Rattus norvegicus: one gene and its partners. The protein of the gene in region 5 interacts with the protein of the main gene of each other region in a biochemical or structural test. Links are inferred from orthologs where the notes say so. Each region holds a gene or a part of one and is shown on either strand. Other genes may lie near its edges.

Region 1 (4,228 bases), on a different chromosome or scaffold from region 5:
ATTTATTTATTTATATATAAGTACATTGTAGCTGTCTTCAGACACACCAGAAGAGGGCGTGAGATCTCATTAAAGATGGTTGTGAACCACCATGTGGTTGCTGGGAATTGAACGCAGGTCCTCTGGAAGAACAGTCAGTGCTCTTAACCACTGAGTCATCTCTCCAGCCCCAGAACCGTTTACTCTTGTTGTCTTTTGAGACAGAGACCATGTAGCTCTGGCTGTCCTGGAACTTATGTAGACTAGACAGGTCTCTCAAATTCACAGAGATCTACCAGTCTCTGCCTGCCAAGTGCTGGGATTGAAGGCATTTACTACCACGCCTGACTAGGTACCATTTCCTATAATGGATCCGACGTCCCCTATGGACACTGAGGAACGATGGTGTATGTGCGATCACATTACGGTACACATGACCCTCTGTTTCCCTACCCTGACTCACGTGGCACCAGAATAGAAGTATGGAAATAGCGGACTACCTTCCATGGGGGCCACAAACAACAAGTAGTTAGGTAGTCAGGGTTGAGCTCTCCTGAGGGGCATACCTACTATGGCTCCATCTATGGGTCCTATCCCACCACACTGTAGGATTCGTAGCCCTCCCCTTCAGTTCCCCTGTAGTAGCCACCAAGGGTCCTCAGTGTCCAAGGGTGGACTGATTTGGGAGGTCTCCTTTTGCTAAACAGCTCAGACCCCCAACACAACGCAGGCACTTCAAAGCCAAGATAATTTGTGGCACCAACCCCCAGCTCTTCCGCTGAAGGAGGAACAGGGCTATGTTGTTCTGGGCCCCCTACCTGATAGCAGCCTGAAACATCTGGTGTGTCTGATAATGCCCAAAAGAGAGCTGGTGCCAAGGCCCGCCATTAGCACTGTTGCTGCTGTTTGTCTGAGAGGGAAAGGGCTGCAGTGGCCCTGATGGGGATCAAAGGGTCCCAAAGAACTTTCCCAAGAAATCTATCCTTCCTGGTCTACTCCTTCTCCAAGGAGAGAGACTTGAGACCAGATCAGAGTCCTCTCAGTCCTCTGGGGGTGGGAGTAGGGGACCAGGACTTTTCTTTACCCTTCATCTGAACCCCAAGACTTTGAAGCCCCTATTCTTTGACATCTGACTTGTTTTATACACAGGGTTGGTTTTCAGGGACCAGTTCCCAAACAGGCCAAGGTGAGGTCTGCTCCTTGAAAGTGACAAGCCACAACTTTAATCCCAGCACTCAGGAAACAAAGGCAGGTAGATCTTGGTGAATTCGAGGCCAGTCTGGCCTACATAAGTCAGTCCAGGACAGCCTGGGCTCCATTACACAGAGGAACCCTGTTTCAAAAAACCTTTTTTTAAAAAAAAAAGACACACGGCACACTCATATCACACACACCCTCCTTCGCCTTTTGCCTTGCCAGAGTCTTATCAGAGAAGACAGCCAATCAGATGTGGGCAGACAGGAGCCCTCCAAGGAACCTTCCTAGCCTCATAGCCCATGAGGCAGAAGAGAGAGAGGAGGCCTGAGGCCCAGGGTGGACAGCAGCCAGTCATGGCCTCAGCTGAGACTGTCTTACCCTCCATCAGTACACTCACCACCCTGGGACAGTTCCTGGACACCCAGGAGGACTTCCTCAAGGTGGGGCCAGTGGGGGAGGGGGCACAGGTGGTCTTGCTGAGGCAGTGCTTGGGGGTGGGGCTTATATCTTACTTTATTATCCTCTGCAGGGTTTTTTGGGGGAGGTGGGGGAGTCTGAGCCTGGCTTGGGAGAGGTGTTGCAGGGATCTGATATCAAGGTGAGGCCTATTTCTCGAATAGGAAGGGGAATTCTGAGTTCTGTATCTTAAGAGTCTAGGCTCAAAGAGACAAAGGCCCAGATAAAAGTGTCCTGGGATTTCTAGGCTTTGAGATTTATTTTTGTTGGGCCACGTGAAGATAGGGAAAGGCTAGGGAAAACGGAGGAGTCAAAACTGATTCCTTTGACTCAGAACTCTAGAACCCCTTCTCCCATCCTGAATGCTGTTCTTGGTAAGTGTCTTATCTGTCTCTAGCAAGACCTCATGGAGTTGCCGGGAGCTGAGAAGGGGGTTAGGGGAACAGTGTGGGTAAATGATAGGCACGCAAACCCTCAACCAACCTGCCCCAACGATGTTTCCAGCCGGGGTTGCTTCAGGGCCAGGTACCCAGTGCCTACCATTCAAGCAGTGCGCTCCCTCCCGCAGTGGTGGCGGTCTGAGGAGACACAGGATTTGGGCCCGGGACCCCCGAATCCCACGGAACCGTCCTTTCACGTGAGTCTGAAATCAGAGGACCCTCCCGGAGAGGACGATGAGAGGGACGTGACCTGTGCGTGGGATCCGGATCTTTTCCTTACAAACTTTTCAGGTCCCGAGCCGCCCAGCACTCCCCGGACCTGTGCCCTGGCACCCAGCGGGGGCCCAGTGGCACAGTTCGCGCCGCCCGAGTCTCTGAGCGCTTATGCGGGTGGCCCAGGGTTGGTGACCGGGCCTTTGGGCTCCGAGGAGCACGCAGGCTGGGCGCACCCGACTCCGAGACCCCCAACCCCTGAGCCCTTCGTGGCCCCTGTCCTGGCCCCGGGACTCGCTCCCAAGGCGCAGCCCGCATTCTCCGAATCGCGAGCGGTCTCGGCCGGAGGTTTCTTCCCGCGAGCGGGGCTTGCGGTGCCCGCAGCTCCAAGCGCCCCCTATGGGCTGCTGTCGGGATACCCCGCGCTCTACCCGGCGCCTCAGTACCAAGGCCATTTCCAGCTCTTTCGTGGGCTCGCGGCGCCTTCTGCTGGTCCCACTGCGCCCCCTTCCTTTTTGAATTGTCTGGGACCTGGTGCGGTGGGCACAGAACTCGGGGCCACTGCGATCGCCGGAGACGCAGGCTTGTCCCCAGGAGCTGCGCCGCCCAAACGCAGCCGGCGAACTCTGGCACAAAAGAGGCAGGCGGCACACACCTGCGGGCACGAAGGATGCGGGAAGAGCTACACCAAGAGCTCGCACCTGAAGGCGCACCTGCGCACGCACACCGGTAAGGACAGGGCTGGGCCGGAGGGGGCGGGATCTGGAACCGGAAACGGAGCAAAGGGAGGGGCCGGAGGGTGGCCAGAGGCGTGGCTAAAGGAGGCCCCGGCGCTAGGGGTCGTGAAGACCGCACACCTCCCCTCCCCCAGACACTGGGTCAAGTCTACAAGGGGCCATTCCAGACCCAAATGGGAGAATCCCAGCACGCAGGAGGCAGAAGCAGGTGGAGATCAGTGACTTCCAGCCCATTTGGGCTATTATAGCGAGTTTCAGCAGCCTGAGCTACTTAGTGAGATCCTGTCTCATAAATAAGTAGATGTAGACAGAAGGCCTGGGGAACATTTTGGAGGCTTCAGTGTTACAAGCGGATGTGTAAGGCCTAGGTTAGAGATGGGAGAAGAGCAGAATGGAAAATGAATGGCACATAAGGAGAAACTAGAGGGGTAAACCCTGGAGGGTACAAGCTTAGAATGTCAGAGCTCAGGATATAGCTAGTCATGCTCGAGCTGGAACTGTATGGGATCAGGAGGTTGAGACATTTAAGTAGAATCAGTTTCAGGGGCAACTGATGGAGGTACCAGAGATAAGGCAGGCCACAAGAAAAGAAGGAAATGCTGGGAGACAGAGCCTAGAAAGAGAAACGGGGTCATCCCAGGATTGGACGACAGTTACAGGTCTCCCAAGCATGGCAAGACTTGCATCAGGTATAAAACCAGAAGAGAGGGATTCACTAGAAATAGGGCCTTAGACCCTGGGGTGGATTTCAGGGCTTGGATCAAGTTCAGGAACATGATTGGATATCATCGGCAGACCCTGTCAGTGCAAGAAATAGCTGGAAAAAGAAAACTGAATGATGATGCATCTACATACGGTCTCAGGCAGGGAACTAGTACATAGGAAATGGGATAGAAGACCAGAAATGAGAAAACTAAAGGACAGCAGCTGTAGATACAGAAACGGATCATGTCACAGAAGGCAGGACTGTGTGCCCTTTAAACTGTGAGATGTCACCTAAGACTTGGCTCCACTTCATCAAGTGCGCAAACTTGGAGGGTGTTACTTACAGCTCCCTGTCCTTCAGGAGAGAAGCCTTATGCCTGCTCCTGGGATGGCTGCAACTGGAGGTTCGCTCGCTCTGACGAACTGACGCGCCACTACCGGAAGCACACTGGACATCGCCCCTTCTGCTGTGGCCTCTGCCCACGTGCTTTCTCACGCTCC
Region 2 (4,016 bases), on a different chromosome or scaffold from region 5:
AGCAGGAAGCCAACTAGTCGCCTCCCCAAGACGTGGCCTTTAGCTTTCTGCCCATGGCCAAAACAGCAGCAGCTGTTGCCAAGGGAGACAGGGTGACCCAGAGGCGTGGGCACAAAATCCAGGGATGGAAATCCACCTTTGTCTGGATCCACCCAAGCAACTGGGTCTCACTAGTTGAGAAAAGATGAAAGAAAAGAATCCCAGGCCTGGGAGGGTAGGTCAGCAGCAGAGGGCTTGCCTAACATGCAGGAAGCCCTGGGTTCGGTCATCGGTTGCAGCCAAAGAGCCAACGAATGAACACCCCGCTTCCTTACCTGGCCTCCTAGGCCCAGGCTGAAGGTACCCAGTCCTAGGAGGCTGGGAGCACAGGCATTAGCCTGAACTCTCAGTACCACACTAACTTTTACCTGCCGGTGAGGAAGGCACAGCCTCTCCTCCAAGCTGCCCCCAGCCCAAAGATTAACCAAGAGCCTTGCAGGCAGAAGAGATCTACTACCCACCCCGGACAAAACAACCTGGGAGAAAGGGTACGCCAGATCTAGTCGAATGCTTTGCCTCTCTAAGTTCTGTCACTTTGAAAGCAAGATCGTTCTAGACCTCCGTGCCTTTTCTGTGTCCCGGTTCTGTTGTCCTCCAGGCACGTTCGTGCCTTGTAAATTGTGAAACACTCTGCAGCTTCGTAGTTGATAGCTCTGGAGGAGGGCTCAGAACAGAAAGCGCTTGGGCTGGGTGCACCCAGGCAGATTGGGAAAAGGCTGCGTCTCCAGATCTGACAGAGCCCTATGAAACTCAACCATCCTGCTCCATCGAAACGATAAAGGAGAAGGGGAAACCGGAGAAAACCACCACATCACACCAGGTCCCCTGAAGCCGGCTGGCAGAGGCTCAGAGGCCGAGCAGACAACACACAGCCTTCCCTCTTCAGTAGGATCCACCCACTCAGGTTTGGAGTTGATAAGACTTTTATTTTTGTTTGGTTTCTTTTTTTTTTTTTAAGTCGGCATTCCCACCATATGTGGTGTTTATTTCCAAGGAAGGCCAACCCTAGGTCCCTGTGGACAGACATTGTTTTGTGCCTTACTATCAGGGCTGGCAGCCCATACACAGCTGCCTTGAGCAGGTGGCCAAGGATGGAAGCTACCAGGACCCAGAACAGTGATGACCTCTACTAGTGTAGGTCCTGGGAGCCCTCCCCCCATCCCTCTGCAGCCAGGGACGTCCCCAAACATTCCCACCTGCCCCTCATCTGGAATCAGTCTTTAAAGGTGTCTGAGAAGGAAAAAACAAAACAAAACCAGAAGACTAAAGTGCTCTCACCCCATTGCCCAGACGCGACTATGCTCTAGAAGGCCTTGGGAGCGAAGTCACTGACCCCTTCCATCAGCCATCTGTGAGCTCCCGCCCGACTCCTCTAGCCCGATGGGAAGGATAAAGGAGGTCAGGACAGATGGCAAAGCGCTTTGGGAAAAGAGGCTCTACAGGAATGCAGGGCCGATGGGAGGCCAGCCCTAGGGTGTTTTGTTATCTGCCTGGAGCTGCCTGCTCGATTCTAGGCACCAGAATACCCTGGATTTAAAAGATCGCAAACCAGCAGGGGTGGGGTGGGAAGAGGGAAAGCCCCTACTTTCTGCCACTTGTTTCTCCCGCTTCAAAGTCGGTGCTCTGCTCTCTAACTAAGTGCGTGCGTGCATGCGTGCACAGGGGGCGGGAGGCTGGCACAACCAAATCTAAAAATACTCAGTAAAAATGCTAATCCCAAGGCAAAGAAAGAGCGAAGAAGGAATCTGTCAATCAACGGGCTCCCGCTCCTCACCCACAGCTGTACCGACTGCATTCCTGTAGACGAGGAAAAGAAATGGGGGAACAGAGCTGAAGAAAAGAAAGGGACACACGCCACCACCTCCAGGAGCCCGGGGCGGGAGGCGGCGGAGGAGGAGGGGCTCGGCCGGCAGAGCCGAACAAAGCGGGGCCTCCACTTGGAGCCCGAAGCCCCGAGAGTTAGGGGGCCAAGCTCAGAAGCATCCCCGCTGCCCAGAGGCAGCTGGCGATCGTTAAGGTCTAGAAGCCAAAATGCCGCACGGAAGCCTGGGCTCTGAGCCTGGACAAATCCGAAGGTTTTGTTTGGGGTCCCTCCACCCACTCTCCGTCCCCTACAGGCGCGCGCGAACACACACACATACACACACACACACACACACACACACACACACACACACACACACACACCCTCCCACCCTCCCTCCTTATCCAACACACACACACACACACACACACACACACACACACACACACACACACACACACCCTCCCACCCTCCCTCCTTATCCAACCGGGCCGCGCTAGGGGGCTGGGCCGGCGCGTCCCCCCACCCCTCGCCGCTCTGGGACCCCACCTGGGGATGGTAATGCACTTGGTGTTCACGTTCTGCGTGGTGATGGCCTTCTCCAGCTCGTCCAACTGCCCCGTCTTCTTGAGCTTCTTCACCAAGCTCTTGACCGCCTTCTCGCACCACTTCTCCTCCTGCCCGTTCTGCTCGCCCTTCTTCCAGCCCAGCAGGCGCTTCACGATCGGGGGGGTGAAGGGCAGGATGGACGACATGGCTGGCACGGAAGGGTCACCGGCGCCCCCGGCGGGGCTGGACGCACTGGGGACGCCGGGGGCGCACAGAGGCAGCTCGGCCTGCGCCGCGCCCGAACTTCGCTTTTAACTCTGGAGAACTTGCCCAGGCGTCCCGGCCAGGATAGCGGCACTGCAGTTGCGGGGATCCGGAACACGGCGGCGCCCGAGCGGCTCCACGCGGACCGACGGACTGACGGACAGGCCCGGGACGCGCGGGGCGGAGGCGGCGGCCGCGAGACTCCGAGTGCCAGTAGAAAGTTTGGGTTTCCGCACGGGGTAGCTGTTTGGGTGCCGCCTCCGAGAAGGAAAGTCCAACCCCCAGCCAAACTTTGCTGGCCTGGATGGCTTTGGTGCGCAGATCCCTCCGCCTCTGCAGCGCTGCTGCTCCTCCCCCTGCGATCGCCGCCTTGCAGGACCGGCCAGGGCCGTGCAGCCGTGCTCCCCGCTCCTCTCCCGCCCGCTCCCAAGTCTACGTTTCACGCAGCTCCGCGTGCAGCCTCCTTCCCAACGCAGTCGCCGCCCCCTCGCTGCCGGGGCTCCCCGCTCCTCCCCCGCGCCCTGCTCCGGGGAGGACCCGCGGCCTTCCCCGCCCAGCTCCGCCAAGCGCGCCCACGTGGGCCACCGGGCACGGCGGCCGTCAGCTCTGCCAAGTGCCGCGGGACCCGACTCCTGGGGACTCGCTGCCCCCAAGACGTTCAGATGTAGTTGCAAGGACTAGAGAGGATTAGACTCGCAGGGAACAGGCACGGTCCGCCAAGGGCTGGCTGCACCTGGGAGAGGACCCGGGCGCGGCGAGGGGTTCAGAAAAAGCTCGGGGCCCAGGAAGTTGAGGCGCGCTGATCTCGCTCAGTGGCCGGGGCTGCTTTAGGTGTTTTTTGTTTTGTTTTTGTTTTCCTGCTGGGTGAGATCAGAACGGCTGACTGCCTGAGACTACTGAGGAGGGAGTTGGAAAACGGGAGAGGGAGACTTAAAAGGGGAGTTACGAGACCTCAGTGACAACTTGAACAATAGCTGGAGCCAGGGGTCCTTTGGGACCAGTGAACCAAGCTCTTTACAGAAAAGGAGCCTCAAAGACATCTGTTGCGTTCCTGAAGGAATGAATGCGGGCGCTTTAGGATTTTTCTTTGGGGGAGGGGGAGAATTAACATTACAGGGTGTTACTGAAGATCCGAAATTCAACACCAAACAAGTAAGAGAGCTTTTGTTTACAAATCAGTGAACTCGCGCGCGCGAGCACACACACAAAGTATAGAGCAAGCCTGGAGGACTTAGGAAGTTTATTCAAAGTTAGCCTAGGTGGGAAGCCAAGAGAACCTGACTTGGGGTAGCTCTAGGGCTTTACCGCAGACTGGGCGAATGCAGGGCTGGTTACCCACCGGTCCCTCTACTGATTTGAG
Region 3 (3,500 bases), on a different chromosome or scaffold from region 5:
AAGAAAGGCATACATTACTATACCCAACTGCAAATACTGAATTCACCTAAAGCCCCACACCTTTTTTTCTGGCTCAAGAAAAAGGGAGGCCTGTCCTAATGCTTCAGGTGATACAGGGGAACACAGCTCCCTGTAGTCACAGCAGAGTCCTTCCTTCTGCTAACAGCCACAGCTCGCTCTGTCTAGACATAATGCAGAAGTCATTTTTCTTCCACTCACTAATTAGTGAAAAGTATTTTCCTTGCCTCAAATTTAAAACATGTCAAATACCATTACATATTATATACAGAAATTTTAAATATTTGCTCCAGCATTGCTTCATTCTATAGAAATGATATTGTAAGTCATGCTAGGACTCTTGGTAGATCTAATAAAGGCTTATTTTCTTTATAATAACAAACTATGTAATGAAGAATAATAATAAGTTTAAGACTTCTTGCAGTTATACACAAGATTTCAGAAAGGAGGTCTGCAAATATCCACATTTACCAATGAGAACTGAAGACCAGTCTGATTAAAAAGGAACCATGGAGCTGAAGGTTTTTTTTTTTTTTTTTTTTTTTTAAACGTTGGCTTCAAAAGTCCCAGGTTAGAGGGATCTAAGCAGGGAGACAGCTATTTCCCATTCTGAACAGCAGCATGAAGAGATGCCTCGCATTTATAGAACTTACTGGTTGGACTTGATCTTTAGAGACTTTGGAAGACATCCCTCTGACCTACATTTAGACAGTTGATAGGATTGTTTGAGAGAGAAAAGTTAGAATGTAACTTAGAAACTGGCTTTTGAGTGTCTGTTTTAATTCAGACAGTGAGTGTATGAAATGAACTTTATGATTTTCCTTTCCAGAAAGTTGTCTCTACATTTAGAAACCACTTAACATCACAGATATATCAGAACACGGCAGAACTATGTTCCATATAAATACCTTTGATTCAAAGTGACAGATAGGTTAAGGCTCCTTGGATGAGCTTTGTCTGTTTTTTCTATGACTCTCTTTCCTGCTCTGTCTGGTGAGGTTGTCCGACTGTGAGTACCACTGTATGCTGATGCCTTAGCAGTGGTCATTTCTTGAGGTACTTGGGTAGAAGGTGGAGATGCAATCAGTATTTTAATGTCTTCTATATTGTCCTTCGTCACTGCTTTTGATTCATCAGTGGTGGTGGCGGTGGTGGCAGTTGCGGCAGTGACAGTGATGGTAGGTTTCTGTAACTGGGTCTGCTGGAATCCTGTAACTGTGCTCACACTCGGAGGGCTTGGAGAATTGCTCTCTAATGGTGACAACTGATCAAAGGAACGTAACTGGAAATCATCATCCATTGGGATATAGGGAGCCAGCATTTCCAAGTCTAAATCAGTGTCCTTTCAAACAATAAATACAAGAGTTTTTATAATGGCCAGTCTTGTAAAAGAGAAACAAGTTCAACCCAGTCCCTTACAGTATGGAACAAGCAAGGTCACAGACGCACCTGAGCTGAAAATGGATTCTTCGCTTCTGTGTCTTCAGCAAACAGTTTTTCCACCAGTTCCAACTTGAATACATTGACCATATCGCTGTCCACATCAAAGCAGTACTCACTGGGACTGTTAGGCTGTGAAAAGAGTTAGGAGTGTTTACTTTTTCCTGAAGATTTCTGTTTGTTAAGAAGTTTTAGATACACGAATATTATATAAAGTTTTATCTAACTAAAAATTACAGTTAAAAGACTTGTTTAGTTGATGTGGTGGTGCATATCTCTAATCCCAGCACTCACTCAAGAGGCACAGGCAGAAGAATCTGTAAGTTTGAGGCTAGCCTGGTCTACAAAGTGAGTTCCAGGCCAAAAAGGGAAATATGTAGAAGATATTTCATAGCAAAACCCTGTCTCAAAAATATAATAAAATAAAATAAAATAGAACCAAAATACAACCAGGCAAAAAATGTTGTCTATCCCCATCCCAGATGTGTTTATTCTACAAAATAACATTCACCAAATAATTCAGATCCCACAACGGTACATAATTATCCAATTAATTAGAGATATTTTCACCATCATCTCCAAATGCCTATTCTACTGGATATTTTAGAGGATACTCTGCTATGTTATGAGTTATAGACAAGAATTTCAATAATGAATATGGTAGGTGGGTAGACTGAGCATAAAACTTTACTTTTCTTCATTTTCCATTACATTTATTTATTAGATCAAGGACAAAATGAATCACACACTTCTGTGCTAGATAAAGCATCTGGGCAAAGAATACCTTCTCGACCTTGGGTCTGAGATACCATGTTGTTTAACTTACTCCTAGAGTTTTCACCCACAAGAGTTTAATGGAGAACCAGTGCTTATTTGTGTCTCACTAACCAACTAAGCTGTTCTGCTCTCAAGCACAGTGTGACCAGGGGAAAGCTCTGAAATGGAATTGTTTTGAATTTGGAAGCAGCTGTTTATGAACTTTCTGCTCTGGTCCAACCTAGATATTAAAAACCGCCTCTGAGGAGTTTTGGGTTCTATCAGTGTCGGGCATTTATCCCTGACCTTTTCTATGGTACCAACCTCAGGTGAGCTTTGTCTAGTGCTTCCATCAGAAGGACTTGCTGGCTGATCTTGAATCTGGGGCATGGTAAAAGAAAGTCCCAGTGACTCTGGGCTTGACTCTAACTTCAATGCAACCTCTTGATTCAGTGCAGGATCAGCACTACTTCGAAGTGGCTTTGGAGTTTCAGAGGCAGGTAATGGAGACATTGCCAGATTTATATTTAATTTCTCATTAGAAGAGGGGAACATTACATCATTGTACAACGGGACATCTTCAAGTTGTTGGTCTTCAGTTTCCGTGTCTGCAGAGGAAATGTTCATCAGTGTGAAGAACATCAGGATTTTAACAAAATGATATTTTCTGCTTTCTAGAAGATATATAAATATGTAGAAGATATTTCTTTACTTGGAAAGTTTATAGGTATTACAGTGTGACCATTAAGTATAAGTTATCTTTTCAGTCCACCACTGATAGGAGTAAGACATGTACCTTCAACCTTTCTATATGCCTGATTTGAAGTAATAGTTTCCATTTTCACGTTTGCTTTTGTGCTACAGCTGCTTTGTTAAACCCTTTAGCATTTACCCAGCTGCACGTGCTGCATTTAACTGGACTGAATGGTGCAGTGAGGTGGCTGGGAGGAAATTAAGGGGGCATCAAGAAATTCCTTCAGGATACTCTGAGCTACAATTCTCAAAAGAACATAAAAATAAAAGTGAGAAGGCGATGATATTTCAGAAACAAATATTAAACAGAATATTTTGAGGAGACTATTTAAAACAGAACACGTAAGCATCATTCAAAGGGTTAAGCCAAGAGAGGAGACAGAGTGCCACTGAACCAGCAGACACAATGGAAGAGGTGGACAGCGTAACTAAGCACTTGCCATCGCTGCCGAAGTCCAGTGATATGATCGTGTCCCCAGCCGCTGGAGCTAGCAGAGTCAGGGCATCGGGCTCTTTCTTAAGCTTGTCGAAGA
Region 4 (4,184 bases), on a different chromosome or scaffold from region 5:
TCCTTCTTTTGATGTGAATGTTCATATTTTCATTAGTAATTGTTAATAATTTTTTAATTTTTATGAGTGTTTCTGTCCGAATGTGTGTCTATGAACCACATTTAGGCCTGGTGCAGTGCTGAAAAACATATCAGATTCTCTGGGACTAGAGTTATAGGCATTTTTGAATGCATATACGGGTGCTGGGAATCAAACCTGAGTCCTCTGGAAGAGTAGCCAATGCTCTTTGATTGCTGGGCCACTTATAATCGGCTCATTACTAATTACAGAAAAGATTATTTTATTAATGTCTTGTACTGTGAAGGTTTTTGACTTACTTTAGTTTTCATTTTTCCCCCCTTTACTTAGTATAACCTTAATCTTCCCTGAATGTTTGTGCAAGAGGGTCACTGTATTCAAAGGAAGATGTTTAGGTCTATGATGTAAGGCAACTAGTTTATGAGCTGGAGGGAGCTCTTGCAACTTCAACTTTCAATAGCATTTTGGTCATCTATAGCCACCAAGACTTTGTTCTAGAGCTGGAGATGTGGTGGCCCAGGTCTTTAATCTCAGCACTGGGGAGGCAGAGGCAAGAGGAGGCCAGTCTGGTTGACTTAGCAATGTTCTATAATAGCCAGAGCTACTTAGTGAGACCCTGCCTCAAAACACAAAACAAAACCAAAGATGTGACCGGAAGGGTTGTTTCTTCATGCCCCACCCCTAGACTCCCACAGGGTTCTTCCATGTAGCCTTGGCTGTCCCGGAACTCACTTTGTAGACCAAGATGGCCTCAAACTCACAGAGATCTGCTTGCCTCTATCACTCGGAGTACGCCACCATAACTCAGCTCGTTGTGGTTAACTTCATTCACTCTGACATGCTAGTGGCTTCCAAATCGCTTTCACTTTCTCTCTTGTAGAAAATGAAAACTTGTTACTATTGTATTTCTAGTAATCAAAGTCATGAATGTGGCAGCAGCAAGCAAGAGGGGGCCATAAAGATATTATACAGGGAATTCACTATATTCAGGAAGAGTTGGTTCCGGCCTCAGAAGCGTACAAGATGTCCAACAGGGAGGAGCCTAAGCGGTCAGTTTGACCCCAAACACACACAGCCTGCAGGCAAAGCGCTGGTCTCCCTAAGGCCTGAGGCAGCGGGCCGGTTTTCCCGGCCCCGCTGAAGACCTAGCGGTTCTCTTGCTCCAGGAAAGTAGCTTAACCTTGACGATTTCATCTCCCGCATTCCCTAAGGCGTTTTCCCGCTTCCCTTTCCCGTCTTCCCAAACTCTCCTCTGCGCGCTGCGGAAGTGACGCAAGACGTAGCGGAAGTCCCTGCAGCCGCGGTGTTGTGCTGTGGAGAAGAGACGGATTTGTAAACCTCAGAGTGCGGTTCTGCCTGCCGGAGGCCGCTGTGGTGCGGAGACCCCCGGGTGAATCCACCGACACCATGTCTGACCAGGTACCGGGCCACGGCCTTGGGGCTCAGGGCCGTCGGCTGCTGGCTGAGCCCCTGGAATGGGGCGCGGGGGGAGGGGGTGATGTTGGGGGAGGGGGCTGCCGGTGGGGAGGGGGCCGCGAGGGACGCCGAGCGCCTGGCAGAGTCGGGCCGAGCCGCCTGGGATCGAGGGTCTCCGGGTTTTACGCACCCTCCGCGGCCCTTTCGGAGGCCTCTACCCCCACGCCATCCAGCGCCGGGTCTCTTTCGACTGCTCCCAGGTTTCTCTCGGGCTCGCTGGGGGCCCAGGCCCGCTCCCTTGTCCGTGAGAGCAACCTGGGGGAAAACGACCGTTTCCCTTTCAGAGGACCGATGGCAGAAACAAGGCCCTAGGCCCAGTTATGTAACGGGAGAGAATCCCTGCCTGGGAGGCTAGGTGGCCCTGAAAAGCAGCTCGATTCTACTTTGGGTTCTTGGTCCCGGAGAGTGGGGGGCGGGCAGGGATCCTTGTTTGGGGTGACTGGGAACCCAGGAGACGCTGCTTTTCAGTTGTGTTTGCCTGGAGGGTCAGTCCGTCTTTGCCCACTTCAGAGTCATTTTTCCATCCGGGGGTGCGGAGCGGTCGACTCTTTCTCTGTACTTTCCATTTCTTACTCGGGATTGGTCCATCAACTCTCCAGTTGTAGGAGCGCTCAGAATAACCGAGAAACAACAAACTGCGTAGAGTGCCACCACCAACATGCCATCCATACGGTTTTTGTCTGGCTTTCCTTTTGTTTGGTCAGATGACTTAATTTTCAGAGTATTTTTTTTTTTTTTAATTTTTACTTCTTTAGTTACAATTCAGCAAACTTTTTTCATTCTACTTTACATTGTAGTTGAGCTTTTTTAAAATTTTTTTTGTTGGTTTTTTTTTTTTTTTTTTTTTTGAGACGTTGGTTTTCTGTGTAGCCTGGTTGTCCTGGAACTCCCTCTGTAGACGAGGCTGGCCTCCAGTTTATAGAGATCCGCCTGTCTGTTTCCTGAGGATGAAAGGCTTGCAACCACCCCAGACTGGCCATAGTGGTTCTATTTTTATAGCCTATCTACACTGTAAATTAGTTGTGGGATGGATTTACTTATTAATAATCTGGATTATTAATCTTTTGGGCTAGAAATGACTTTATGAAGCCCATAATTTGTTTATGACAGTTGTTTACTTAGTTACCAGAGAGGAGAGATCAGCTGTGTAAACGCTTATGCTTCATCAGACTTCTATTTTTAAAGCATGTTAGCCAGATGAGAGGGCAACATACAGAAAGAGTTTTAAGTTTTAGGATTAGTTTTGCTCTAGTTTGAACTTACATTATGTGAGGATATGAAGAAAGAAAAGAGGACCCTAGGACACAAGGTTTCAGGGAGTCTGCAAAGTCACTCTATGCTTGCTTAGGACTCTCTCACCTCACTTGGGGTCTTTGGGTGCTGGACCTAGGGCCTCCCACATGTGCTTGCCAGGCAGGCACTAAACCCTCATTTCTCCTTTTACTTCATTTCATTAAGTTGTCTAGGTTGGACTGTAACACACTTGTCTTTGAACTTGGACTCCCTCAGCCTTGCAGAGTAGCTGGGATTACAGAGTTATGCTGCCACACTTGGTGTGTGTGTGTGTGTGTGTGTGTGTGTGTGTGTTTCTCATTCTATCATGGATGTTCAATGAAAATTTTAGAAACATGACAAAAAAGTAGAACAAATCTTTTTTTTTGAGGCAGGGTCTTAACTATGTAGCTTTTCCTGGCCTGGAACTCAGTTTCTCCTGTGTCTGTTTCCTGAGTGCTGGGATTAAAGATGTCTACCACCACAGTTGGCAAAACAAGTCTTTTTTTTTAAATTGAGCTACACATTAAAGCAATTTGCATAGGAAATAGTGCTGCTACTCTTAAAATTTTTGTCTTTAAAAAAAGTAATAAAAATGTATCTAACATTTTAGGGGTTTATTTAGTTCAAGTCAAGGGTTTCTCTGTGTAGCCTTAGTTGTCCTGGAACTTGCTATGTAGATCAGATTGGCCTCAGATTTTCCTTGCCTTGCCTCTGCCTCCCAGAGTGTATACCACCACGACAGCTGGGTTGATAGGTTTTTAAATCATTGAGAGTGTGATAATGGATTTGGGAGCTGTTGCTTTAGGCTGATGGATAACATTAATCTTAGTTCCCAGAACAAGTTCAGTATTGAGTGTTAAAGATTTGGAGAAAACGGTTAAGTGAATCCTTGCCTGTAAGAGGTTTATAAGTGAGAGTAGGAATCCCCAAGTACTGTGTGTAATAGCAACAGCCTGAGACTGAGCTGTCTTCAGAAGGTGGCCTTAGAGGGTACTTTTTCAAGTTGGGGGGTTCGATAATGTGCTTGACTTGAATACAAGATGCCCTCCAGTACCCATGCACATTTTATTTTCTGAGGCAACTCTTAGAAGCTTGTATCTTGTGCTTAAAATAGTCACATTGAGTAATAGTTTCAGCTTTTCTCTTTGTTTTGAGATGCTCTCACTGTGTATCTAGGCTGGCAGTGATCCTTCTGTTTTTACTTTCCTGAGTCCTGGGATTACAGGTGTATGTGTATGCCACTGTGTCTTGCCATAATTTCAGTTTAAAATGAGTGGATCTTTATATCTAAAATAGATCACAATCTAATGCCTAAACCTTGAGAATTCACTGAATTATGCAGTTTTTTTAAAAAGAAGGTACTATAGGTCCCATCATTGGTACATGATTTCCCAAAGAATGAGGATCATTCTATA
Region 5 (3,500 bases):
AACACCATCCTAGGTCCTGAGGACATACGGTAAAGCTGCCACACACAGCCATGCACTAAGGCTGAGGGAGGGAGCATCTACCTCAGAGCGGGGTTCCCCCTTGGATTCAGCAGGATCAGGTTCAGCATCATCTGTCTGCACCTCTGTCTTCATTTCCAGCATGGGCACATCAGGTCCTGGCTGCTGGGAACTGGTTTCAGCACTGGTCACAGAGGAGGGAGTAGGGACTCTATTATCAATGCTGGCTGCTGCCTGAGAAAGCTGCAAAGAAATCAAAATCATTCACCTCTGTAAAGCAGATAACACAAATGTTCCTCCAACTCTTGTACCTCCAAGCTCAGTCTTCTGTTTAGTATTTCTCCTTACAACCTAAGTACTTAGTATGACCACTAAAGGGCAGAAGTACTTTTCTAAGTTATAGTCTCTCTGCTTTCTGACTGGATTATTTTACCATTATTTTCTTCACTAACATTCCTACTTATGGAGAAAGGCAAACCCTTAAGTATTTACAGGGAGGTTGGGGACTAATGGCCTATATGAAGCATGTCTCACAGGACAGTGATGGCAGTGGAGTAAGCAAACACCCCACTCCATTACAGGCTTTACCCTATGAAGCACTACAGAAACTAATAAAGAAAGATAAAGCTCTGGTAAGAGGTAAGAGTAAGCACACGCCCTTATGGAGAAACCAACAGTAATGTCATCTTTCCAACTGTTGCATGATTAATTTTGTCATTCTACAAATAGCTTAAATATCTAAGAATTAATACAAACCCGGGAGGAGGGGATCTGTTGTTTCATTATGAATAAAAAAAGGCATGTATTCTCAAACAAGGTTGATTAGCCAAGACCTTTATAGTTTGGAGCATAGCATGTCTACTAAACCCACAAAAGCACAAAAGCAGTCAAACCTGGACGGTAATTACTCTAGAACAGAAAACAGGTAAAATAATGGTAGTGCATACAGTTCAATGTGTGACATACCGAGGACTATTGATTTCTATAAACCACTTTAACCAAGGCAAACTATAAGCCATACCTTTAGGGACAATAGAGGAACAATTCAGTTTACTGCAATTTCAGACACACACACACACACACACACACACACACACACACACACTCTCTCTCTCTCTCTCTCTCTCTCTCTCTCTCTCTCTCTCTCTCTCTCTCACTTTTTGGCACCAGAGCAATTTGCTATAGCATCCCAACAGACAGAATAGTCCTTTTTTTAAAAGATGGCATCTTACTTTTCTAGCTAGATATGCCTGCTTGTGCACGAGTGCTCGACACATCATTCTTATGGTAAGGTGCCCTGTATGAGTTTAGCTTGATAATGACGAAGAGGCTCACCGGTGTGCCAGGAGGCTGAGTATGCACAGGCGTTGGTTGCTGCTGTGATGACTGAGGAGTGGCCACAGATGGTGGCTGCACTGGAGTCTGAGGCTGTGGGGTCACCTGAGCCTGTGCTGCTGCCTGCACTGTTGGGGTGCTCTGTGTTTGGGCAGCACTGGGCACTGAGCCAGGAGTTGGGGTAGGAGTCTGCCCAGATGACACAGGAGTGGATGGCTGAGTGGGAGCTGCTGGCTGGGGAGGGGTCATCCCTGGTGGTGTCGGATGCTGGAGAGAGGGCATGCCAGCAGCTGTGGAAGCAGGAGGTGGAGTCGGGTGCAAAGGTGACTGTGTCACTGGTGGGCAAGGAAGCTGGCTGGTCTGGGGCGCCAGCATGTTCAGAGGGTTAGGAAGTGTACCTCCAGGCACCTGGCCCTAAAAGAAATAATAAGAATATGTAAAACTTACTTTACCCAATTGAAACCATAAGGGACTTACGGAAAAAAAAATTAGAAAAATGTAATTCTAGTTTCTTAATTAGTTCTGGTAGTTTCATGAGGATAGTACATTTGCAAAACTTCAGACTAACCATTTATAGCATGCACCACACCATGTAATAATAAGCACTAAAATGCTTCTATACTCTGATTTGTATAACGTCAATATCTGATTACAATATTCATGGCTTAGACACATTTACTTAGTTTACCGACTTCATGTTTTGTAACATCTACTTAGACAACAGAAAAAGGGCTTTTTTTTTTTTTTAAAATAAGTTGAGATACTAGAACACTGGGGAGACCCCTGACTTAAAAAAAAAAAAAAAAGAGAGAGAGAGAGAGAGAGAGAGAATCAAAATTACCATTCCAGAGACAAGTTTGGCCTAGGGACTTTGGTCCAGTTCTACAGGATGACAACAACAACCAGATTACAAGTTACATGGTGTGTGTAACTACTTATACACTTTGAGAGCAGAGTTAAACAGTTAAGACTAGGACTATGGCCCTGAGAACCAGCTGTTGAACAGAAAAGGTTTACTGCTGGTCATTGTGGCATATGGCTAAGATACAAAGAGTGTAGCCTGGGCTACGTAACATGGAGAGACTCTGGAAAGAGAAGAAAGTTGGTTTCCTGATCTCTGTTCTGAAGAAATGAGATAGAGAAAATTAATCATTACTGAGCAAGCCTAACATATTCAACAACTCATTCAGCATTAGCTAAATTCTTAAAAGGACACAATTTTTTTTTATTTTGAGAAAAGATTTAGCCTACTTTGTATGCAGCTGACATTTGATATACTACAGTTAACCAAAGTGGGAGAAAGCAGTAAAATGGGTGGGAAAGTCGGCTGTAACTAAATAACTGAGGCATGCTCAGGAGAAGAGTGCTACTCCAATGAGTCTGCTAGCCTTGACCCCCAACACACATAGTCAGAGAGACAGACAGACAGACAGACGCGCGCGCGCGCACACACACACACACACACACACACACACACACACACACACTGAAATCCAAGAAACCAAGTCACTAAAAGAGGATCCACCCTTCAAGTTCTAGTACTTCTCAGGATGCCGTTAATCTTAGATTTCTAAAACACACAAACAGCAACCAAAATCCAAAGATAAAAAATATAAAGAAAATAAAACAAATGAACAAACAAAAACAAAAGACCAACCAACCAACCAAAAACCCCACAACCACAACCCATTTTACTTTTGTGTGAAGTTCACCTAGAAGGATTGAGAATTAAAAATTACGGAGCAAAATGGGAAATGGAGATATATACTCTAGAATTCTAGTTCCCATAAAATAAGACAGGAACCTGTCAACAGAGGCTGAGGCTACGTAAATACTAGCTGACCAGGCTCCCACACTGAATGTACCTGTGAAACACCTGCCTGGGTTGCGGGCTGCCCCATGCCTACACTGTTCACACTCATTGCCCCACTGGATGATGGAAACTGGTTCTGTGGCAGAAACTGGTTCTGAGTAGGTGCCTGGGCCATAATGTTGTTGGCATGGGTGCCCATCATATTGGGAGGCTGAGGCATCCGGGAAGGAGAAATGGCCATCTATAAGACAAGAATCAGAAGTGTTAGGCTGGAGTCTTCAAGAGATAACGCAGTGCTATGGAGATCCAAAGCCTTACAAATAAAGTATACTTT
Region 6 (3,500 bases), on a different chromosome or scaffold from region 5:
AACATGCTTTAATAACTCATATGCCAAGTTGAAAGTCATCTTAGAAAATAGGCAATCTTTAAGATAGACCTGGAATGGGCAGTCTCCCTTCTCAACCTTCACTACCACCCTTTCTCCTCCTGGAATAGCCAGGGATACATGGCAAGACCTTGTCTCACTCCATGTCTCCTCCCAAATAAGTTAGATTCATCAGTATGTATTTTCCATTTCAAACCATCCTTTTTTTTTTCTTTTGCCTTTTATTTTGAACATCACAGGAGAAAAGAGGAAAATGAACAACTCTCATGCTCCAGAGGAGGCCAAGCGATCTCGAGTGATGGGGGATATTCCTGTGGAACTGATCAGTGAAGTTATGTCTACCATCACAGACCCTGCAGGGATGCTTGGACCAGAGGTCAGCAGCTGGGAGGGCCTTCTGGTCGCCCTGCCGTAAGAGCTGTCAGAGCTGAGGGTGGGGTACTGAGAACACACTGCTGGTCACCTGTAACCTGGAGATCGATCACTGTAGGGAGGGCAGGAATGGCTAACTAAGATGTGGTTCCCTTCGATGAATATCAGTTATGGGGCCACAAACTACAGTTTCAAGTAGTTGGAAACTTTTCCACATTGGAGAATTTCAAGCCTCCCTCAGCAATGAAAAAAAAAAAAAAGTAACCAAACAACAACAACAACTACAACAAAAACCCAAGAATCAAAACCAAAAACAAAAGCCCCCCCCCCCCCCCCAAAAAAAACACCCAAACCCCACAGAGTGTGTTGAGCCTGCAGATTTATCAGGGGTCACCTCCCATTTCCCTTTCTTTACCTCCTTTCTCCTCTCCTGTGAACCCTTTAGAATCATTTCACAGCTCCAAACAGATGTAATAATACCTCATACCTCGTGCATTTGCTTGTGTCTTGTACTAAAGCAATTCTCTTAGATAATCACCTGAGCTAGCACTCAGGGAATTTAACTTCATTATAAGGTTCTCTGGCTTAGGGTTGGCAGACTGCAGCCTACCAGTCATAGCTGCTATTCAACTTATGGGCTCAAGTAATTCTGTGTCAGCTTCTAACTGGCTGGGAGGAAAGGTGTGTCCCAGCAGATTGGGCTTGTAATAGCTCTTATGGCATGTGTGTCTTGCAAAACAAAATGTTTATCTCTTGACTTCACTGGAAAGTTTGCTGACTTGTGGCCTAATTTTCAACCCCTGTGTCTAATGACCATCTTACCAATTCATGCTATTCATAACATGCATTATTGTTGGAGACCCAGTTAAGAACCAAGTATGGCATTCAGTTTTCATTTCTTCATCTTTTTATCTTCTTTCTCTGGTCCTTTCTTTGTTTCTTTGTTTCCTTCCTTCCGTCCTTCCTTCCCTCCCTTTCTTCCCTCCCTTTCTTTTTCTTTCTTTCTTTCTTCTTCTTCTTTTTTTTTTTTTTTTTTTTTTTGGCTGGTCTCATGTGGTCGAGGCTGATCTTGGACTCACTGTATAGCCAGGATTAATGACCTTGAACCACACTGCTAGGTTCATGAGGTGCCGGGGATCACATCCAGGGATTGCCACATCCCAGCAAGCATCTGACCTGTGAGCCATATCCCAGGCTCCTTAGTCTCCTTTAACTCAAAGCCTTTCCTCTTCTCTTACAATGTTGCCTTTGTTGAGGGGCCTCGTTAGCGAGTTATTCATAATGTCTCTGTCTGGATCTGTGTGACAGTTTAGATCAATCCAGGTAAAATATCTTAGTTAAAAGTATTGCTCTTGTCTCATTGCAAGACATCCAGGAACAGGGAGGCTTAAGACATTTCCAGGAAATGAAGACATAGCCTGAGTACTAGTGTATACACAGCGTCTGTCTTTTGGGTGTGGCTCTGATAGATTAAATTAGTAAGTTTCATACTGCGCTGTCTTCGTGGCTCTTTTATTAGTGCCAAGGATAATTTGGAGAATTGATTGTTGCAACAGAACCATCTCATAAAGTTCTTTCCTTCCAGTCTGTGGGGGGCAAATGCTGACCTCCTCCTGTGTGTAGGCTTTAGGGATTTCATAGCTTCACACATGAGCAGAGCATGGCCTGCTCAGAGGAAAGTGGGGAGGCAGTCACCCATTTCACAATCCTTGTTGCAGTTAGTAGAGTACTAGTATGCCCAAGAAAGCCACTAACGATGTAGACATTTTTGTAAGCTAGTTGTTAAATGCCTTGGATGCTTGAAATGCCTACCACAGTGGTTGATACCCAGTAACCTGGACGACCAGCCAAAGCCCTCAAAGATAGTGCTATAGTTAGGACTTTTCTGCCCAGCACAGCTGTTTGCCAAAGACTTCCTCGCCCAGCATAAGGTGAATTAAAGCATGAGGTGCTGGCTCTAGGCCATGCAGCCTGCTGTGAGTTAAGTCTGGATCAATAGATACTTCTAGAAAGAAAAGTATCTTCCAAAAAAGAGGTGCTGAGAATATAAAAATGACTGCTTTTTTTTTTTTCCGGAGCTGGGGACCGAACCCAGGGCCTTACGCTTGCTAGGCAAGCGCTCTACCACTGAGCTAAATCCCCAGCCCCAAATGACTGCTGTTTTATGGTGCGTTTCAAGAGTTTAGAACCTGTTGTCTTAATGATATTTAATTAATTATTATTATTTTTTATTTTCATTGCTTTTATGTTGTTATTATGTTGTGTGAGTGAGTCACTCTTGTATAGAGGCTAGGGGACAACTTTCAGTAGTCAGTTCTCTCCTTTAGTTGTGGATTCTGGGCCTCAAACTGAAGTCATCAGTTTTGTGCAGTGAACACCTTCGCCTGATACTCCATCGTATTGGTTCTCTCCTTAAAATGAACACCGACTTACTTAATGTGCCTGTGTGTATGTGTGTTCATGCACCTGTGGAGACACCATGCCATGGTGTGAATACGGAGCTTAGAGAGGCCAGTATGAAGGGATGGTCTTTGTCCAGGCATTGAACTTAGGTTGTCAGGTTTCGTGTCATGCACCCTTACCTGCTAAGCCACTGATCTCCCAATTCAGAATTTTTACATGTATTTTTGTTTACTTATGACATATGTCTGAGTATATGCCATATATGTGTGGCTGCCCACAGAAGTCAGAAAGGGGCATTGGCTGGCTGGAGCTGTAGGCACTTGTGAGCCTCCCAGTATGGGTGCTTGAAAACAAGCTTGGGTCCCTGTAGGACAGCAGGCATTGTGAACTGCTGAGCCTTTTCTCCAGCTCTTCTACCCTCCTTAAAGTTGGAAAATCATGCCAAGTGTTCTATACTAGTGTGGCTATGTCTGCTTGTATGCTACAACAGCAGCTGAGTTGTTGAGAGAGACCATGTCATTAAAAATAGCTAAAATATTTTATTTTATTGTTTACATTATGTGCATATGTGTCTCTCTGTGTGGGATTATGTATATGTGCAAATGCAGGTGCCCAAAGAGGCCAGGAAAGGATGTCAGATACTCTGGCCTGGAGTTACAGGCAGTTGTGAGCTCCCAGTGTGTTTTCTGTAGGACCCACACTCGGGT
Region 7 (3,500 bases), on a different chromosome or scaffold from region 5:
AAATACATGATCTTTGGATACTGGAACTGAAAAATATGATTGACTCCTCAGATAAATCCAAGGATCAAGTTTTCAAAAAAAAAAAAAAACCTAAAAATTATAATTTTACCTGAGCAATTTCATAAATTGTGTGTGTGTGTGTGTGTGTGTGTGTGTGTTGGTGTGCACGCGCATATGATGGGCAAGTGCTGAGAATCAAACCTTCACACATGGTAGGAATACACCCTGTCAACTGAGGTTTGTTCCCAGCTCTTCATAATGGATTATAATTGCATTAAAAGGAAAGTTAAAAAAAAAATGTGGTACCAATGTACCTAATTAAGTTATTGTATAACAGAAGTAAATTAATTTAGGATTATCGGTGACCTCTGGGTAATTATACTATCCTGAGTGGTATGCGCACAGAAAATGGATAATTCACTGTTCAATCAAGAGCTATGAGTTCATGACTATTAGTCACTTTATCAAGGTGATAAATTTGTGGAAATTAACATACTAGCATATATAATGCTATGTTAGCTAATTCCAGATTTTACTATCTTAGATGTTAAAAAATGTCTATGAATTATTCTACGATTAACTTTGTAAGATTACTTGGAAAGGTCTGGAGATAGGGCTGCTCTCTCAGAGAACTTAGGTTCTATTCCCAGCATCAACAGGGAGGCTCACAGCCATGAGCAACTAGTTCTAGGGGACAGGACACCCTCTTCTGGCCTTTGCTGGTACTGCACACATCTGGTGCACAAAAACATCCATACACATAAAATAAAAATACACGAAGAGGGTCGGGGAACAAGGACTTTTAAAGAATCATAAGGTTATCAAAATCAAATCTTCATTTCTCCTGGAGTTAATTTGCAAATTCAAGTGTATTTAATTAACATTCTACTTTTTCTTGATTACACAGCAACAACCTCAAAGTGAATGGAAGGAAAAGATATGGGCTACTCTGTTAAGATCATTTGATTTTGTTATTTTTCCTGGAAATCTAAAAACATCTGCTCTTATGTAACAGATATAGTTGTTTTAAACAGTAAGGTCTCACACACACACACACACGACAATTCTTTGAAAATAAAAGTCTCATCTAAGATTTAAACATTTTTAACTGTGTAATATTTATTTGTACACTTGATTACTTTAAAAGTATAAGATAGTTCTGACAAAACCAAATTCATTAAAATAAATTCATTATCTCTAGGTATAATTAAATTGCTACCAAGAAATATGAACAAAGAAATATAATTATGTTAAATTTTAACTTAAATAATCTAAATACAATTAAATTGTAATAGCTGAGATTCTGTAAAGGACAGCTTTTGGAAAAAAGCAGAATGAAAAAGGAGGGATGAATACAAGTAGGAAAGAATGAGAAAGAGGTTTACACAGGACTGCAGAGATGACTTAAGAGGTTAAGAGCACTGACTACTCTTCCAAAAGACCCAAATTCAATTCCCAGCACCCACGTGGTGGCTAACAGCCACCTGTAACTTCAGTTTCAGGGGATCCAATGCTCTCTTCTAACCTTTACAGGCACCACATACATGTGCTGTTGATATACAATGCAAGCAAAGCACTCATACACATAAAACAAAAAAATTTTTTTTTAAATAAACAAGTTACAAAATAAGCAGTTTGCCATACATGTGAGTATTCAGTACTTTGTTTCTTAGTGGAAAAGAAAAGTCAAGAACATAATGCTAAATCACTTTCATCAAAGGCACACATGCATGTACAAAAGGATGGTATATAAGGTGAATAAAGCTTTAAGAAAACTCAAAGTACTAGTACGTTTAAACTGAAGCATCTAAGGGAATGGTAGGCAATCCATTCATCCTCCTCATCAGCTCCTGTGTGTCTTTCTTTCCTAATTCAAGCGAAACTCCCTAAGTAGTGAATTAGGACAGGGATAGGTTATACCCTCCGTGTGTTCATGCTGGAGGAGAAGTCTTGTACAATATCAGAGAAGAACCATCTTGAACACTTAAAATAATCTGGGTATGAAGCTATGTAAACACACACATACAGACACAGAGCCAGGCCAGGGTGGGGAAGATGTACCCCTTTACAGCTACCAATAGTTTAAGGAAAAAAGTCCATCTAAGTTTATTTAGCTCAGTTATCACAGACAGTAAAGACAATTTATCAAGAACACCACCCCTAGTGTTCAGACAGATGACCTAGTGGTTAAGAACGCTTAATCCTCTTGTAGAGGACTTAGGCTTGGTTCTTGGCACCCACATTAGGTGGCTCACAATTGTCTGTCACTCTATCTCCACAGGATCTGATCCAAAGGCTTCCCAGAACTGCTGCACACATGTGATGCATATAAACCCATGCAGGCACACACACACTCATAAATAAAACTAGCAAATATTAAAAAATTACCCTTCTTTATAAATAATACCAAAAGTTTCCGTGTTGGAAAAACTAAAAATTTTGCTTTAGGAATCCACTTTAAATACAGCTGGAATACAAATTACAGGCTGGCAAGCCAACACCATGCTAAAATTAAAAATAGTAATTTGTGTGTGAATCATGTAAGAAACATGGTGGAAGGCAGGAATGGGTAAAAGAAAAAAGAGAGTGACATTCCCATAAATGCCTTTTAACAATTCTTCAATAATGTCTGACAGTAGGGCAAACAATATTGCCAGCAAAAGCTTTGGCATTTATCATTTCCTTAAAGAGAACCTAACAGTTTTCCTTCTCACTTTTCATAATAGAAAAACGTATTACTCACTATACTGCCCACTGCTAGTTTGGTAAATCGGGGTTGGCACTGTTACAGTGGTGATGGCAGGGGCTGAAGTCTCTTCTTCTGATTTTTCTTCTTCAATCCTTGGCACCCCTGGTGCATCAGAAGATAAGTCATTCAAAATTTTCCTAGAAAAATAAGGAGCTATTTTAATTAAAAAAAAGTCACTAAGTACAAATTAAGATTAGAAACTGCTAATGTATAGGACAAAAATTCAAACACATGAATAAACTCCAAACAAAGTAGGAACTTTAAATGCAAGAATTGCGTGATGGTAATGGGGGTGGTGGTGGTGGATAATAAATAAAACTACATATGTTTTGTTTTTTTTTATCTTATGCGCTAGGGTGTTTTATTTGTACATGTTTAGTGCCTGCAGAATCCAAAGGAGGACACTGTATATCGTATGACTAGAGTTACAGATGGCTGTGAGATGCTGTATGTGTCCTGGGGATTGAATTTGAATCTTTTAGAAGACCCATCTCCCTCTACCCACTCCAAGCCGTGTGTGTGTGTGTGTGTGTGTGTGTGTGTGTGTGTCCCCGAGACAGGGTTTCTCTGTGTGGTCCTGGTATCTTGAAACTCACCCTGTCACTCTATTTAGATCAGGCTGGCCACAAACTCAAGAGATCTGCCTACCTCTGCTTCCTAAGTGCCAAGATTAAAGGCATGCATCGCCACCACCTGGCTTATTTTGGTTTTTAAGAAGGTGTCTTATTATGAATCTCAGGAAAATCACAAT

What was found.
Region 1: the proteins of Crebbp (region 5) and Klf1 form a complex in vitro, tested with the Homo sapiens proteins (2 studies listed by BioGRID and IntAct, with this or other methods). The link is inferred for Rattus norvegicus from reciprocal best matches to the Homo sapiens genes CREBBP and KLF1.
Region 2: the proteins of Crebbp (region 5) and Smad3 form a complex in vitro, tested with the Homo sapiens proteins (3 studies listed by BioGRID, with this or other methods). The link is inferred for Rattus norvegicus from reciprocal best matches to the Homo sapiens genes CREBBP and SMAD3.
Region 3: the proteins of Crebbp (region 5) and Hif1a form a complex in vitro, tested with the Homo sapiens proteins (6 studies listed by BioGRID and IntAct, with this or other methods). The link is inferred for Rattus norvegicus from reciprocal best matches to the Homo sapiens genes CREBBP and HIF1A.
Region 4: the proteins of Crebbp (region 5) and Sumo1 form a complex in vitro, tested with the Homo sapiens proteins (2 studies listed by BioGRID, with this or other methods). The link is inferred for Rattus norvegicus from reciprocal best matches to the Homo sapiens genes CREBBP and SUMO1.
Region 6: the proteins of Crebbp (region 5) and Kat2b form a complex in vitro, tested with the Homo sapiens proteins (4 studies listed by BioGRID). The link is inferred for Rattus norvegicus from reciprocal best matches to the Homo sapiens genes CREBBP and KAT2B.
Region 7: the proteins of Crebbp (region 5) and Creb1 form a complex in vitro, tested with the Homo sapiens proteins (15 studies listed by BioGRID, with this or other methods). The link is inferred for Rattus norvegicus from reciprocal best matches to the Homo sapiens genes CREBBP and CREB1.

Annotation. Positions count from the first base shown.
Region 1 is NC_086037.1:40,155,852-40,160,079, reverse strand, and holds the start of Klf1 (Krueppel-like factor 1), read left to right. Parts: upstream 1-1,428; 5' UTR 1,429-1,475; coding exon 1,476-1,616; intron 1,617-2,200; coding exon 2,201-3,014; intron 3,015-4,073; coding exon of another isoform or gene 4,074-4,088; coding exon 4,089-4,228. UniProt on the Homo sapiens protein: Transcription regulator of erythrocyte development that probably serves as a general switch factor during erythropoiesis. Is a dual regulator of fetal-to-adult globin switching.
Region 2 is NC_086026.1:73,129,525-73,133,540, forward strand, and holds the start of Smad3 (mothers against decapentaplegic homolog 3), read right to left. Parts: upstream 2,801-4,016; 5' UTR 2,599-2,800; coding exon 2,393-2,598; intron 1-2,392. UniProt on the Homo sapiens protein: Receptor-regulated SMAD (R-SMAD) that is an intracellular signal transducer and transcriptional modulator activated by TGF-beta (transforming growth factor) and activin type 1 receptor kinases.
Region 3 is NC_086024.1:98,397,898-98,401,397, reverse strand, and holds part of Hif1a (hypoxia-inducible factor 1-alpha), read right to left. Parts: coding exon 3,408-3,500; intron 2,823-3,407; coding exon 2,539-2,822; intron 1,591-2,538; coding exon 1,468-1,590; intron 1,361-1,467; coding exon 927-1,360; intron 1-926.
Region 4 is NC_086027.1:68,600,004-68,604,187, reverse strand, and holds the start of Sumo1 (small ubiquitin-related modifier 1), read left to right. Parts: upstream 1-1,384; 5' UTR 1,385-1,425; coding exon 1,426-1,437; intron 1,438-4,184. UniProt on the Homo sapiens protein: Ubiquitin-like protein that can be covalently attached to proteins as a monomer or a lysine-linked polymer.
Region 5 is NC_086028.1:11,932,840-11,936,339, reverse strand, and holds part of Crebbp (histone lysine acetyltransferase CREBBP), read right to left. Parts: intron 3,408-3,500; coding exon 3,219-3,407; intron 1,768-3,218; coding exon 1,354-1,767; intron 262-1,353; coding exon 82-261; intron 1-81. UniProt on the Homo sapiens protein: Acetylates histones, giving a specific tag for transcriptional activation. Mediates acetylation of histone H3 at 'Lys-18' and 'Lys-27' (H3K18ac and H3K27ac, respectively).
Region 6 is NC_086027.1:6,879,145-6,882,644, forward strand, and holds part of Kat2b (histone acetyltransferase KAT2B), read left to right. Parts: intron 1-257; coding exon 258-394; intron 395-3,500. UniProt on the Homo sapiens protein: Functions as a histone acetyltransferase (HAT) to promote transcriptional activation. Has significant histone acetyltransferase activity with core histones (H3 and H4), and also with nucleosome core particles.
Region 7 is NC_086027.1:73,432,228-73,435,727, reverse strand, and holds part of Creb1 (cyclic AMP-responsive element-binding protein 1), read right to left. Parts: exon of another isoform or gene 2,887-3,500; coding exon 2,744-2,886; exon of another isoform or gene 1-2,743.